Astyanax mexicanus: one gene and its partner. The protein of the gene in region 2 purifies or fractionates together with the protein of the main gene of each other region. This does not show direct contact. Links are inferred from orthologs where the notes say so. Each region holds a gene or a part of one and is shown on either strand. Other genes may lie near its edges.

What was found. The genes of interacting proteins can lie anywhere in the genome.
Region 1: the proteins of ptp4a1 (region 2) and metal transporter CNNM4 purify together in Homo sapiens (affinity purification with mass spectrometry; 6 studies listed by BioGRID and IntAct, with this or other methods). This does not show direct contact. The link is inferred for Astyanax mexicanus from reciprocal best matches to the Homo sapiens genes PTP4A1 and CNNM4.

Annotation. Positions count from the first base shown.
Region 1 is NC_064429.1:30,753,400-30,761,101, reverse strand, and holds the start of metal transporter CNNM4, read left to right. Parts: upstream 1-4,688; 5' UTR 4,689-4,727; coding exon 4,728-6,165; intron 6,166-7,702. UniProt on the Homo sapiens protein: Probable metal transporter. The interaction with the metal ion chaperone COX11 suggests that it may play a role in sensory neuron functions. May play a role in biomineralization and retinal function.
Region 2 is NC_064423.1:12,467,162-12,474,525, reverse strand, and holds the start of ptp4a1 (protein tyrosine phosphatase type IVA 1), read left to right. Parts: upstream 1-4,284; 5' UTR 4,285-4,457; intron 4,458-7,364. Other genes in the region: lgsn (lengsin), read right to left, coding at 983-1,152, 1,255-1,885, 2,054-2,083. UniProt on the Homo sapiens protein: Protein tyrosine phosphatase which stimulates progression from G1 into S phase during mitosis. May play a role in the development and maintenance of differentiating epithelial tissues.

The sequences.
Region 1 (7,702 bases), on a different chromosome or scaffold from region 2:
GTAAAGCAGCTGTTGGTAGAAGTGTCTAATAGAGTGAACAGTGTTTTATACCTATTGTATATTATACACCAGTAAACCATTATGCAACTAAAGTGTCCTAGATGCTAATTGGAGCTAAAAAAAAGAATAATAGAAGCAGAAACAAGCAGGTGGTAATAATGGTATGCTGGATAGTGTATAACGATAGAGTACAATATATCAAATGCTGTGGATTCAGAAATTAAAATATCATATGTATGCATAGCTATTTTGTCAATAATAATAATAATAATAATAATAATAATAATAATAATAATAATAATAATGATATCCCTCTCCTGCTTCTCCTCTCCCAATTTTTGTATGGCTGACAGTAGTTCCCAGGGAAATTAACTCCATTTACAAACACTTTGTCCAAGCTAATACAATATCTTTATTGGCATTTATTGGCACACTAGCCTTTAAAATGTTTGGTTACATGCTTTGGTCAAACAAATACAGAAGTCTTTATTTAAAAATGCAACACCCAGCCACTCACACACCCAGCCACTCACACACCCAGCCACTCACACACCCAGCCACTCACACACCCAGCCACTCACACACCCAGCCACTCATGAAGCTGGCTGCAGAATCCAGGGTGCTCGTTTTCGCTGTAAAATGCCACAAGCTCCCCTCGTCTCCCATGCCCAACGTAGCCTGTAATATAAGTAAAAGCACACACTTTCACAAAGTAACAATCTCTCAAGCCCCAATACCTTAAATATATTGACTTACCAATTTCTGACCTCAGGAAAAAATTATCAAAATTTATTTAGAACAAACATACCCAGTATGTAGTCTTTATAAGTTTCTTGACAGTTCTGGCAGCACTGCAGTTCGTACATCCTGCGAAACTCGTCTTTACATGCAGCACTGTGATGTTTTCATGGCACTACACCTGTAGGTTTAAAAAAATCAAGAATTTTAAAATGATTTCAAAATCAATGAGTGTAATTCCTTTTCTAAGGGAAAACAAACATCTTAACTGTACTGAAATATCATGCTTACTGTCAAGCCACTCGAAATGTGCCCGGGCCCGGAATGATTGTTGTCCAAACAATGTCCCGGAAGAGACGACAAACCAGTGACAGCTTTAAAAAAGCTTTGTCACCCTCTTCCAGAACTGTATCTATGAGAATAAGGGGCATCTGTGAAAAACATTATAGAAGCATGTAGATTTTGATTCATGAAAATTATAGTAATTGAAAAAAATGACCAGATAACATTCTAAGGCTGCAACCAATTACTATTTTGGTATTCTATTAATCTGAGTTGGCACTTATTATTTCAATCATATCCCCAATCTCTGATTACTGTAGGAATGGCTAGCATTTTTGCCTGAAGACTGTAGTCAGCGTCATTCTGTTGACTAATCTCTGCCTTAACGTAACAAAACAGCTCTCTGCTTTTCTATCCCTTTAAAATGATAGCTCTCCAATAGCTTATGGGCTTCAAATGCCCTTGAAATGACTAGTCAACACTAGGTCAAGTTGAAATTTCAAATAATGTCAACTTATCTTTTCAGCCCAATTCAGACTTTTGAAAACAAACCACAACAGTAAAACATTTTAAATGGCCCAGTTAAATTAACCCGAAATAAAAAACACACATCCACACCCTTACACCTGTTCAAAGGAGACGTTGCCCATTCTATCTCCTTCATCAGTCACACGTTCAACACGCTGAACTTTCCTGAGAGAAAATATAATAATTAATATAATTAATACCATGCACAGAGGAAGCAAGACCAGAACTGGGAGAAGGTGTATCAGGAGTAGCTGGCAGAGGGGGAGCTGGACGTGCATCAGAAGTAGCAACAGTCTGTGGATTAAACACTTCTGCTATAATGGTCTTGGTTGCACTGCTGCACAGAGATACATGATGTCTGAACTGGTCTTTGCATAGTATTGTATGGCTGCAATAGACACAAAAGTGTGCTGTAGGTGTGCAGTTTAGAGATGAAGGAAACTGTAAGACCAAAATGCACACAACATGCAATTAAGCCTATAAATATTAATATTCTTCAACTCATTATGCCCATCAATTGAGTGTAAGATGTAAGTGCATTTGTTGATTCAAGATATTACATTTACATGTTTATTTGTTATAGCCAATAAAATCAATATCTCTCTCTCTGTTTAAAGAAATACTTCCCCATACCGTTATTCTCGACTGCTTGTTTGATATGGTTTTGTAGATGTAGGCTGTTATTAAATCGCTGGTCAGTGTCAAAACTGAAGCAGGGGCATTTGAAAACACCACACTGGCCAAACCGTGAAGGGTCAGGAGTGGCCTGGACATGTGTTGGATGCTGTAAAACAGAAAGCAACAAAACACAACATGAGCTTACAATTACTATATCGGTGCACATTAATTGTAACTACATTCAGTACAAAGGTAATAAATGTGCATCGACTTAACCCTCCTGTTACGTTACGGGTCAAATTGATCCATTTAGTAAGATAGTAAAAGTATTTTTTCTGTATGAAACGTCTTCAGCTTGCCTTTATTTGTATAATTAACATATAACATGAAAATGGTTAATTTCATATTTGCAACAACCCCCTGCAAAAACTAAAACTAAAACGAAATTGTAATGTTATGTTTCATTTATATGTAAAAATATTGTGTTGGTTGTTTAAAAGTAACAAAGTAGTAAAACAAAAAAAAAGTAAGATTTTTTAAAATGTAAAAACAAGTGAATTATCCTAATTGAACTATTACCTCTATTGTACACTATTGTACTAAATGTTGATACAACAATCAGCAATGGAGTTAGTTATTAAATATTTACTCTTCTGGTTAGGATTATTTTGGTTTCAGAAATATTTTGGATAATTAAAAATGAACCAGGTCAAATTAACCCGGGAATACCATTGCTATTCCTGACAAATTAAATAGGAGGATTAAGCATTGATATCTTCAAATATTTATTTGTATGACTAAGACTTTGAACCAATTTGAGTTAGTTAGATTATCTTGCTATCTTGTTAGCCAATTAACTTCTTGTATAGACAGTTTAAACAGTTTTTTAGGTTAGCTGACTATAACCCCTAGCTATGCCTTAAAAACAAAACTGATGCCTAGCTCACTACTAGCTATGAGAGTTTATCTGTGATACCATTAATTGGTAGCATTTTAGCCCATAAAACAGAAGGTAAGATAACTAAAGTTTGAATTAGACAAGACTGGGTGCAATTCTGCATTAGAATCCATCAAAAAAAAACGGCAATATGACTAGCTAGAAGCAAACAAACCACATGGTACACGCGCCGATGTAGAACCTTCATGTGCGTATCAACGACTCACCGTTTATTCATAAAATATAATATAGAAAAACAAGAGGACATTATAAAAATAGCTCTGTTAACTTAAAAAATAACTCAATATTTGTACTTATCGCCATAACCGGAGATATAAATCAGATAGATGCTTTAGCTGCTTTCTCGGCTACAATTCCTGTTTACCGGGAGTAAATGTAGGCGTTCGTGACGGACGTAAGGTGGGTGTTGCTTTAGACGTAAGGCGGAGTTGGACATGGGCGGAGTTGGATGTGGGCGGGGTTGGATGTCCAACTCCGCCTTCCTACAGGCTGCAGCGAGCGGCTCCTCTCATAGTCTGCATGTCTTTAGTATAGGTTTACAATGGAAAAGCTCTCCCTGCACCACTAGAGGGCACCAATACTATTAAATTAATGTGGTGTGTAGTAAAAATGAAGAGCTGTCTGTTATAATGAATATGCAACATCTTTTTTCAAATGAGAAATGGTTGAAATAACAACAACAAAATGCAGAGCTTTCAGACCTCAATTAATGCAAAGAAAACAAGTTTATACTCATAAAGTTTTAAAAGTTCAGAAATCAATATTTGGTGGAATAACGCTGATTTTTAATCACAGTTTTCATGCATCTTGGCATCATGTTCTCCTCCACCAGTCTTACACACTGCTTTTGGATGACTTTATGCGACTCCTGGTGCAAAAATTCAAGCAGTTCAGTTTGGTTTGATGACTCGTGATCATCCATCTTCCTCTTGATTATATTCCAGGAGTTTTCAATTTGGTCAAATCAAAGAAACACATAATTTTAAAGTGGTCTCTTATTTTTTTTCCAGAGCTGTATATGCAATATTAATATTGAACATTGAAAATTCATGTTTAAAATTGCCGAGTTGAATATGGATGAGTATCTGAATTTGCAGTTAAAGTTTATATTAATTAAATATTAACGTATTTATAAATATTTAAATATCTTTATATATTACATACCTAAAAAACACGTATTTGAACTACATAAGATAACCATAAATACCATAATTAGTGCGAATGTTATAAAGTTTCTGCAATAAATAAACGCTAAATGAGCGGTAGACAAAAGTATCTGTTCCAGTCCACCTTAAAACAAAAATAATTACTCCCAGTCGCCCTTAAAAAACTTTCTTCAAAAGCTGGAGGCAGGGGCCGTCTCTCGAAATCGCAATCTGATTCGTGTTCGGCCATGAGAATCCCACCTCAGTTTCTCATTGGCTGTATTAAAATGAACTAGGCGTGTCCCTTGCTCTTATTGGCTGCATGCTAATGTAGGGGCGAGTCGTTCAGTGCAGAGGAATGAGTAGAGGTGACGTCAGCCCCCCGCCTAGCAGCTAGAGCGAGGAGGGAGCGAGCGAGCGTGCGCACGCGTGTGTCAGTGCGCGTGTGGACAACAAACATGGCGACAGGATGGTGCGGGAAGGGGAGCGCGCTGGCTATGGTGGTGTTGGCGGTTTGCGGGGTCTGCGCGGGCGCAGCGGAGAGGGGAGCGGGCGCGGGGGGATCCGGGGACGCGGGCGGAGAGCCCCGCATCCTGGGCGTGCGGCTGGAGGGCAGCGACAAGCCGTTCACGACCACCGAGGACGGCGTGATCCAGGTGACCGAGGAGAGCAGCGTGTCCCTTCGCTTCTACGGGCTGCACCTGAGCAACGACACCCGGGCGCAGGTGAGGTTCGTGGATCTGGGCGGGGACGCAGGTGGAGGTGGTGCAGGTGGAGGTGGAGGTGGAGGAGGTGAGGATGCGCTGAACGGCACCTGCGACGATGTCACCAAAGACATCACCGTGCGGGGCAGCATGAACGTGAGTAAGCTGGGCACCTCTGCGGTGCTGCGCGTAAAAGTGAAGCTGCTGCGTAAAAGCGAGAAGCAGAGGGACTATGGCATGTGCACGAGGAGCCAGAGGGATGGTAGGTGGCATCTGCTGGGCGAGCAGGATGGCAAGCTGCGTGTGGTGGAGGAGAAGAAGTCACTGCTGCCTCTGTGGCTCCAGGTGATTCTGATCTGTGGCCTGCTGGTGCTGTCAGGTATGTTCAGTGGCTTGAACCTGGGCCTGATGGCACTGGACCCAATGGAGCTGCGCATTGTGCAGAGCTGTGGCACCGACAAGGAGAAAAAGTATGCCCGCAAGATCGAGCCCATCCGCAGGGAAGGGAACTACCTGCTCTGCTCCCTCCTTCTAGGCAACGTCCTGGTCAATACCACCCTCACCATCCTCCTGGATGACCTCATAGGCTCAGGTGTGGGCGCGGTGGTGGCCTCCACCATTGGCATCGTCATCTTCGGCGAGATTGTGCCCCAAGCCCTCTGCTCTCGCCACGGCTTGGCGGTGGGTGCCAACACCATCCTGCTCACTAAGTTCTTCATGCTGTTGACCTTCCCCATGTCCTACCCAGTCAGCAAGCTGCTGGACTGCGTCCTGGGCCAGGAGATGGGCACCGTCTACAACCGTGAGAAGCTGGTGGAGATGCTGAAGGTGACCGAGCCGTACAATGATTTGGTGAAAGAGGAGCTCAACATGATCCAGGGAGCCCTGGAGCTCAGGACTAAGACAGTAGAGGATGTCATGACCCCTCTCAGCAACTGCTTCATGATCCACAGTGATGCTGTGCTGGACTTCAACACCATGTCCGAGATCATGGAGAGCGGGTACACTCGCATCCCCGTCTTCGAGGATGACAGGACTAACATTGTGGATGTCCTGTTTGTGAAAGACCTGGCCTTCGTGGATCCTGACGACTGCACCACCCTCAAGACCATCACCAAGTTCTACAACCATCCGGTCCACTTTGTTTTCCATGACACCAAGTTGGACTCCATGTTGGAGGAGTTCAAGAAAGGTGTGTTGGCACGGCACAGGGTCTGGTGTGGGGTTGTTGGTGCAGGTTGAAGAGGGTGCACTAGTAGTTTTTTTACTCTGAACAGGAAGGTTTTTCTGAAGGTATTGTAGATAGATTGTACATAAGCAATGATTCAAATCAGATGTTTGTTTTGGGTTCAGGCAACTCAGACTTGTCCTCAGGTCCATCCAGATGGTCCACAGTTTTGCTCTGTCTATATATATGTATGTCATGAACTGAGCAAACATGGAAATTATGAGGACTGGTTTGAGAGGCACTTGCACAAAGAAGCATTAGTCTAAGGCCTCTTAAAGTATCTCCTATCATAAAGACTTAACACTGATCAGTTTCATCAGGTCTAATCAATATGAATGAAATTTAAAGTAACAGTCTGTAGGTTTTGGGCATGTGGGGATTGAGAAAGTGTAATTGCAGCAAAAGTAACCAGCAAATTATACTGGATCTTCTTTAAAAGCTGTATGTGTGACATAAGTATACACAAATCCTTCCAAAACCTACCAGACCACTCTGTTTTTAGATTAATAATATATTAGAGATTACAGGGTTCGTTAAAACAGCACACTGATACCATAAATCTTAAAGCTTAATATAGGGGTGGGCGATATGGCTCTAAAATAATATCACGATATTTCAGGGTATTTTTGCGATAACGATATACTTGGCGATATAGGAAAACTAAAACAATTCATTCATTTCAGGAATATAGTATAATAGTTTAACAGAATAATCATAATGTGGCAAAATAAATAATATAGCATAAAATAATATAATGCAGCAAATAATATTGCAGAATATTTAGTGCATGCATATAAACTGCAAACTAAAACAATTATACAATTAAGACATTAAAGTTTCACAGTAAATAATAGAATACTTTTAAGACAGAACAGCCCTATTATCACAATATGGATTTTTAATATCATGATATTTCTGTGTCACGATATATTGTATACGATATAATATTGCCCACTCCTAGCTCAATATGTAAGGACTGCTGCTTTAAGTTAAGCATATTACTAACATCATATTAACAATGAATCTCACCAAGCTTGTTTAATCTCTAGTCAGGTCAAATTTATTTGTATCACACATTTTGTTAACTGATGTTGGATATAACACTCATTCAAAGCTAAAGGAACTTAACTACTCTGGGATGGTCTAAGACTCATAAGGGGTTCTATCCTTTTTTTTTTGGTCCAAGCCACTTATACAATAATTAATAATGGTATAACGTAGTCTTAACACCACTTACTGGTGTTGTACTGAAATAATCATTGAAATGCATAGTAATAGTAGTTATAGCAATAAAGAAGTAATAAAGATTGATAATAGTAATTATAATAGCCACATAATCAGTAATACTACTGATTCGTTTATTGTTTAGTGGAAGGGCTTGTTTTTATTACAGCCTTTCTGCAGTATCAGTATGACGAAGGCCAATATCAATATAAAGCATAACTGTTGTGCACTGAAGGAAAGGAAATATAAATACTACATAAGGATTAGAGATGGATCA
Region 2 (7,364 bases):
ATTATCAACATGCAAAAGCATCCTAAAGTTGTGAAGTTATTTACAGTGCTGTGAAAAATTATTTGCACCCTACAGATTTCTTTTTAGATTTTTATCATACTTATATTTTTCAGATTAACAAATACATTTATTATTAGACAAAGATAACCTGAGTATATATAAAAAGCAGTTTTTAAATGATAATTGAATTTACGAAGAATTCTATTCAATTCTATTTAACCAACCTGGCCCTGTGTGGAAAATGATTTGCCCCAAAACCTAATAAATTGGTTGAGCCACCCTTGGCTGAAACAACTGTAATCAAGCGTTTTAAATAACTGGCAATAAGTCTTTTTAGCCCACTCTTCTTTGCAGAATTGTTTTCATTCAGCCACATTGGGGGGTTTTGCGCAAGAAAGGCCTGTTTAAGATCCTGCCACAGCTTCTCAATCAGACTTTGACAACCAAAACCTTCACTTAGGTTTTTTGAGCCATTTAGAGGTGGACTTGCAGGTATGACTGAACTTTTGGTAAAGAGCAGAAAATATGGTTCAATTACAGCAAATCCAGGTTGTGTAGCAGCAAAGAAGCCCTAGACCATCATGCTACCACCACCATGTTTGACCTTCATTATAAAGATCTTTTCCCTAAATTATGTGATAATTTTACACCAGATGTAACAGGGGAAATACCTTCCAAGAAGTTCCACTTTTTTGTCGAAAATTCACAGTATAAGTCCTGGGGATCATCAAGATTTGAGATGGGCCTTCATGTTTTTTTTTTTGGTCAGCAGTGGTTTTTGCCTTGGAACTTTTCCACGGATACCATTTTTGCAGTCTCTCTTTTTTATTATTGAATCATTAACACTGACGTTAACGTAGCAAATACTCATAGCACTGTATATCATAAATATTTCAAAAATAAATCTAAGCATAAGTTTCTTTCATTAATGCACATTTGATTCAGTCACCCTACATTTAGCAATTAAGCAGGAGATATTTACATGAAAGTAGCGAGCGGGGACCATCTTGGATCTGGACACACCGTGAAGATCTGTTGCTTCAAAGCGAACAAAGCCAACATTCTCTCGAGAAATCTGCTGCTTAATCAGATCAAGCTCGTAAAGGAAATTCTGAGATCCGTGAGATTCTGTATGAGAACTGTCCCTGTTATCTGTAGAACGCATAAAAATAAACATCATTAAAAATAAATAAGAGGGACACCAAAATCTTTCAGATTTCTCCATCAGTAGAGGAACAGTAGAGGCACACTCACCTGTCTGTGATGACCACGTGTCGGAGGAGTGGGCTCTATCACTGGAGGGTGTCCTGTAACCAGTTGTCCTGCTTGTATGACCGTCGGTCCTGGATGACCCACTAGAATCCCAGCCAGAAGAAGCACCATCTCTTGGTCTCGAGGCTCTTCTGCTCCCTGCAAGAATTGGTTTGAAGGTTGTAAAGGACTTGGATGGTATGTCGTCTGGTCTGCAGTCCACCCTCTGTCCAGGCGTGTGGCTGTGGGGACTGACCGGGCGGCCGTCGTCCCTCAGCATGGAGCTCTCACGTAATATATTCTTCAGTTCTTCCACTGTCTGTCTAGATACACCTTGTTCTGTGAAGGGTGGATGTCCCCGGAGGTCTTCTCCACCCCAGTCATCATTACTGGTGAAATCCTGGTTCTGGGGCTCGCTGGTGACAGTGGGCTGACAGTGTGGGCCAATAGAAATGACTGTGGGGTTTTCAGCAGGACTTGGAGTGTAAAAATTTGTCTGGACGATGGGCACAGGAGTCCCCCTTCTGTCCCAGTCTGAAGAAGCTACATGTTTACCGCTAACCTTTACCCCCTTCTTACTGCTGTGGCTCATGTTCCCTCCGTCCACTTGGTCTGAATCTGTAGATGCCATTTCCTATATATAAACATAAACAAAAAATATTCATAGTTATAAACGAGCAAATCCAATTCTGAGAGTCGCACCAAGATGACATTCCCCTTTTTTATACATAATGGATTACAAACACTCAAAATATATATGTTATACATTTGATATTTTTGTAGAGAAATCTGAAGACTGTACTTTCTCTTTCGGTCCATCTGATTTTTGCATCGTGTCTCCAGTTTCTTTGAGCCGGTGGTTTCAGATTTTGTGAGCTCCAAGTTGAAACAAGAGCTATGGCCAAGCACATCATTTATAGGCCGCCGGTACAATGCTGACCATTTGGAACATTCCCTCTGCCCCCCCACCCCCAGTTCCTCCCAGTGCACCCACAGTAAAATGGTTTACACAACTAACAACCTGTGACTGAAACACACTCCTCCTCTGATTGGCTGATGCTGAGAGCGGCCCAGGCTGTTCACTGGTCTATTGTACAGGATAGCACCATTGAAAACTATGCTGAGATCAGCTTTTTTACACAGACCTCTAAACACAGCCCGACCAATTTCTAGAAAGATGTTTTTTAAAACAAAGAGAAGAAAAAAACAATATTCACCACAAATATTCTCCATTATCTATAATACAGGCTTCATATGCATAATATTCCCATATTGTAAATGCAGCTTATGTGTAAAAAAAATATTTTCAGAGACTTTAATTTAATAAATCACTATATTTTATGTGGGAGTGATGAAAAGAGGCAAAATTCCATCTAGCAAAACCATGAAGAGTGATCGAGGCATGTCATGCTCTCACCCTTATTGCTTAAAAAAACATAAATATGCCTTCCTTAAACACTTCATCTGCTTTAAACCATTACTCACCCAAAGTTTAAATGCTGAATGCTCATATGCTCAAAGTTTGAAGGGGAAATATTATTATATTATATATTAATATTATATATTAAGTTATAATAGGTCTATGGGCAGTACAAAACATGTTCATAAAGTTTTTGGCGCCAAATTACTCTCACATAAAGAGATCTCACCAGCTCTATTCTTACCAGTGTCAGTCTCATTCAGAATTAGCCATTAAAGGTTTGTGTAAACGCATGCAGGAATACACGGTACACAGGCAGTCTTCAGGAGACTTGTGTAACCAATGAACGTAATGCAGAACTGTTCACAGGAGTGTTGCATCCGTTGCTTTGCAGAAATCGTGCCCTGCCATAGACTCGAGTGTGGGAAAGAAAGAGAGCAGGAGAGTAAGGTGCTGCCCTCATCTACATATTCATAAAGTGCATGCAAAACAGAGAGGGTTCTGACTGGCCTGTTCTCTACAAAGAGTCTGTGAGTCAGCCCATTAATATTTATTGTGAGTGGGCTGTGTTTCTTTCCCCTTCTGGACGGGATGCACTTAGTGAGTAAAAGAAGGAGCATCATGGCTCCCATCTAAACTCATTTCACCTCTGACTACTCTAAAGTATATCCATGTCTGGTAAAAGTAAAAAACAATGAAAGTCTTGCCCACTGTACAGTTTGTAATAGCGATTTTTAAGCTAAGTCCGGGGGTATCTCCCTGAAATTTATTTTCGCAACTTGAGATGTCTGCAGAGTTCACGGTTTTCCCTCCAAATTGGGCTTGTTTGAAAATCCGGTTGTGGGTGAAAATTCAGGGGTGGCGGGGTGTGTTTTTTTTAGCTACGTTTAAAAATTACAGCGGCAAAAAAAACAAACAAAAAAGTGGACAAATCTGAAAATTGAGAGATCATTCAACTTTTCATTTTTGTTTGCGAAAGGCTGAAATGAAAAACTTGATAATTAAAAAACTGGATGAAAACCAGTCAGTGTAACGTTTTGTAGTTTAATTTTTGACTGTATCAAGCTAAATTTGAAATGAAGAACAAATGTGTTTTCATAATTTTTTTAATTGTCGAGTATTTAATTTCAGCCTTTCACAAACAGAATTTAAAGAAAACTGAAGAGTTGAATGTTCTCTCTTTTTTTTATTTGTCCATTTTTGTATCTCGTTACACAAATCTGATGGTATAATCCAACTTGCAAAATGCAAGATAAAAAAATAAAAAGGAAGAAAACTTATTTCTTGTACATTGCACTACTTTAAAAAAGGAAATCATAAGTTTTTACATCCAGTGTTCTATTTTTGAATTTAACCTCAAACAGTCAGAAAATGTAATTAATTAAAGTTACACTGACCAAAACCCATTTCTTCTTCATTTGAAATTTAGCTTTGATACAGTCAGAAAATTAAACTGCTAAACGTTACACCGACCTGGTCTGATATGGCATCACCGCGCGGGGAGGGAGAGAACAACAGCAGCGGCGGGCTGACCCGGTTCTGAGAGACCCGTCCCCCCTCCTCCTCCTGCTGATGATCCAGGGCGCGGTTACTGTGTGGAGAGCGAGCGAGCGAGCGAGCGCGCGCCAGGCAGGCAGGCTGGAACCGGTTGAGGCAGAGACGGAGTCGCGGATGAGACAGGGCGCGCGCTGCGGCTGTATGGTAAAAAACAATTCAGAGATTTCACCGCTTTCTCGGGACCGGCTTTATGGTTAAACTACAATCTTCAATGAGTAAACATATTCCAGTAAGTACACAAATCTCATATTTAAAGCGGGGCTTTTGTTTTATACGCGCGTGGCTCTGTTTTAAGATTGTCTTTATGGGGTTTGGCGAGATTGTTGTCGAATCGAGGTCATTGTTTTAGCCTGGTAGCGCTGGATGTAGAGGCGGGTAGTCTGGATCCTAAAGTTTATTAATCCAGTCCTGGATTTTGTTACAGCCGCCAGTGCGGCAATGCTGCAGCTGTTCTGCAGCAGAGCCGCCCTGACGGTTGGAACAAAATCCCGGTGCGGATTTTTACGTGTGGTACTTTCTGGATTAAAATTCCCATCTTTAAAATAGACATTAGTCCTTCATAATCTGTTTTAACCTGGATTATAGCTGGATACGTCCTTCTAAATCACAGTGACCTAATTTTTATTAGTTAATGAGTCTATATGTTCTTTTTTAAAACCATGGAATTGTAGTTTAATTAATTTAACAGTTAACTTAACAGTCAAGCGAGCTTTGTGCTTTAGCCAGCAAGCAAGTTAGCTAGCTAGCGTTAGCTAACCTTAAAACGACGGGTTTCGTCGTTATTCTGTGGATACCATTAATTTATTCTGGTTTACAAAAAATCGAAAATAAATATTAATAAATAAAGATTTCTTATAAAATACTAAATAAAGTATTTTAAGAAGATTAGTTAACGTTAGCTAGCTAACTAGGATAACAACAGCAGGAGGCCCGACAGGTTGTTAGCTAGCTAGCTATTTCAAGCTAAAGCTAACTAGCATATCATTCTAACTTAGCCTAGCCATTTGCCGCATATATAACATATTTAGCTAGCGTTAGGTGGGTCGTAGTTGCACAGCCGGTGTTATGTTGAATTGTGTTACACATCAATATGTGCGTCTTAACAGTACTGCGCATGCGCCTTAAATTTTTCTTACGAGCCAACAAAAAAGCTTATGGTGATGTAGTTACGTGTCACAGACCATTTAAAAGATGTGAAAAAATGTGGAAAGTTGCGTACAGCACTCTATCCACGATTCTAACTCATCAAAGTCCTTAAATATGTTATCAAGATGTCTGTTGGGAGCGTGCTTCTTTTTTCGTTGCCAATTTTACCTTTAAAACACACTGGGGAAGCACGATTTGACGAGGAGCACAACTCGACAGAACACCTGGTTGGCTAGGCTAGCACATTCTTTTCACGGCTTCTATATGTGTGCGCCGCTTTCTTTGTGGGGAAGCTTAGCTAAACTGAGCTCTGGTCTCTGTCTAATTCAATTAACGTTAGCTAATCTAGTAGTTAGGTATCTTAGCTCACAGGTAGGTTAATAAGCTAGTTTATTGTCTCTGCCCATAAGCTAGTTAGTTTAGTGAAATACAGAAACTCTTCAGCTAGCCCAGCATCTCCTTATAAATAATAAGGAAAGTAAAATCCAAATAAAATCAGTCAAGTTTCAGTCAGTAGGGTTAACCTTCTCTCTTTAAATGTAAATAAATCAACCTTGGGTTGTGTTACATTGTTTTATGAGTATAAAATAAAGCTCTGCTCCACTGCAGAGTCTCTGTGATGGGCATCAGCAGGGATACCAGCATAATGATGTACCTGTGCTACTACCACTGTACTTATTATCTATGGCTGCAACTACTGATTATTTCAGTAGGCAACTAACATGATTATAATTTTTTTAGATTAGATAGATTAGATTTTATATATATATATATATATATATATATATATATATATATATATATATATATATGTATATGTGTGTGTGTGTGTGTATATATATATATATATATATATATATATATATATATATATATATATATATATCTCAGGAGACACCGCTCATTTTATTGTTTGCATACAGTTCCTTGAGAGGTAAAATATAAAGCAAATGTTACATTTGTTTCTGAATTTCTGAACCAGGGTGTGTAGTCTATAAATGTGTAAGTTATAAATATAATATATATATATGTGTGTGTGTATATATATTTTGCCATTAAATGTTTATTCAGCTAACATCTTACATTAACCAATCACAGCTTTAAACAATATTTTTTAACAATAAATTTAAATAATCTAATAAAAATAATAAAAAATTACCTTTAACGCAAAAGTGCCTATGGTGACATAACTTTAAAAGTTGTGAAAAGTTTGTTCCTTTGTCCTTGACTTTAAATCATGAAGTCCTCAAGTGACATACTGTATGACCTGACTTTGTCAAAGGACAGTATATGAATGTTTGTTCATTTATTTGACCTTATTAGCAGGATGTACGTAAGATACGTGAGATAAAAGTATCTTCTTTAAAAATTATATTTTTCTACAGCTCTTTTCCAATCAACGATTTAACTAAATGTACATTGCATTCCATTCCATATAATTGGTTGTGGCATGATTTCTAGAACAAAACGTTAAAATCCAGATTATGAAATTATATTCACTTGTTACATCTATATAGACTATAACCCTCAAATATTTACAGTCATTTTTTCACAGTAAGAAAAAAACATGAGCTGCTCTCTGAATTAGATTTTGGTATCAATATTTAGAAATGGGTCTCGGCTCTTATGAATTAAAGTAGCACAGATAGTAGCTGCCATTCATATAAGTGCGGTCAGTGTCGCTTGGTCCTTTTCTTTTATCGCTTATCAAACAGCAACTACTGTTTTATACCGTTATAATTCCGATATCATTGTGAATCTCTACTTTAAATGTGTAAAGTACTGATATTTAGTAAGTAAATATGTTTTCTGTTGTGTTTGGGCACTTTTGGAGAGACAGACCAAGTTGAGTGTAAACTTTGTGAGTGCGGCAAATTCCCGTCTCCCACTAGCAATTTTATATGATCAACATTGTGGATTATGTTAACTAATTATTGCAGCCCTATTGTTTACCTGCTTTTCTCTGACCCTCCATCTTTCTGTTTTGTCT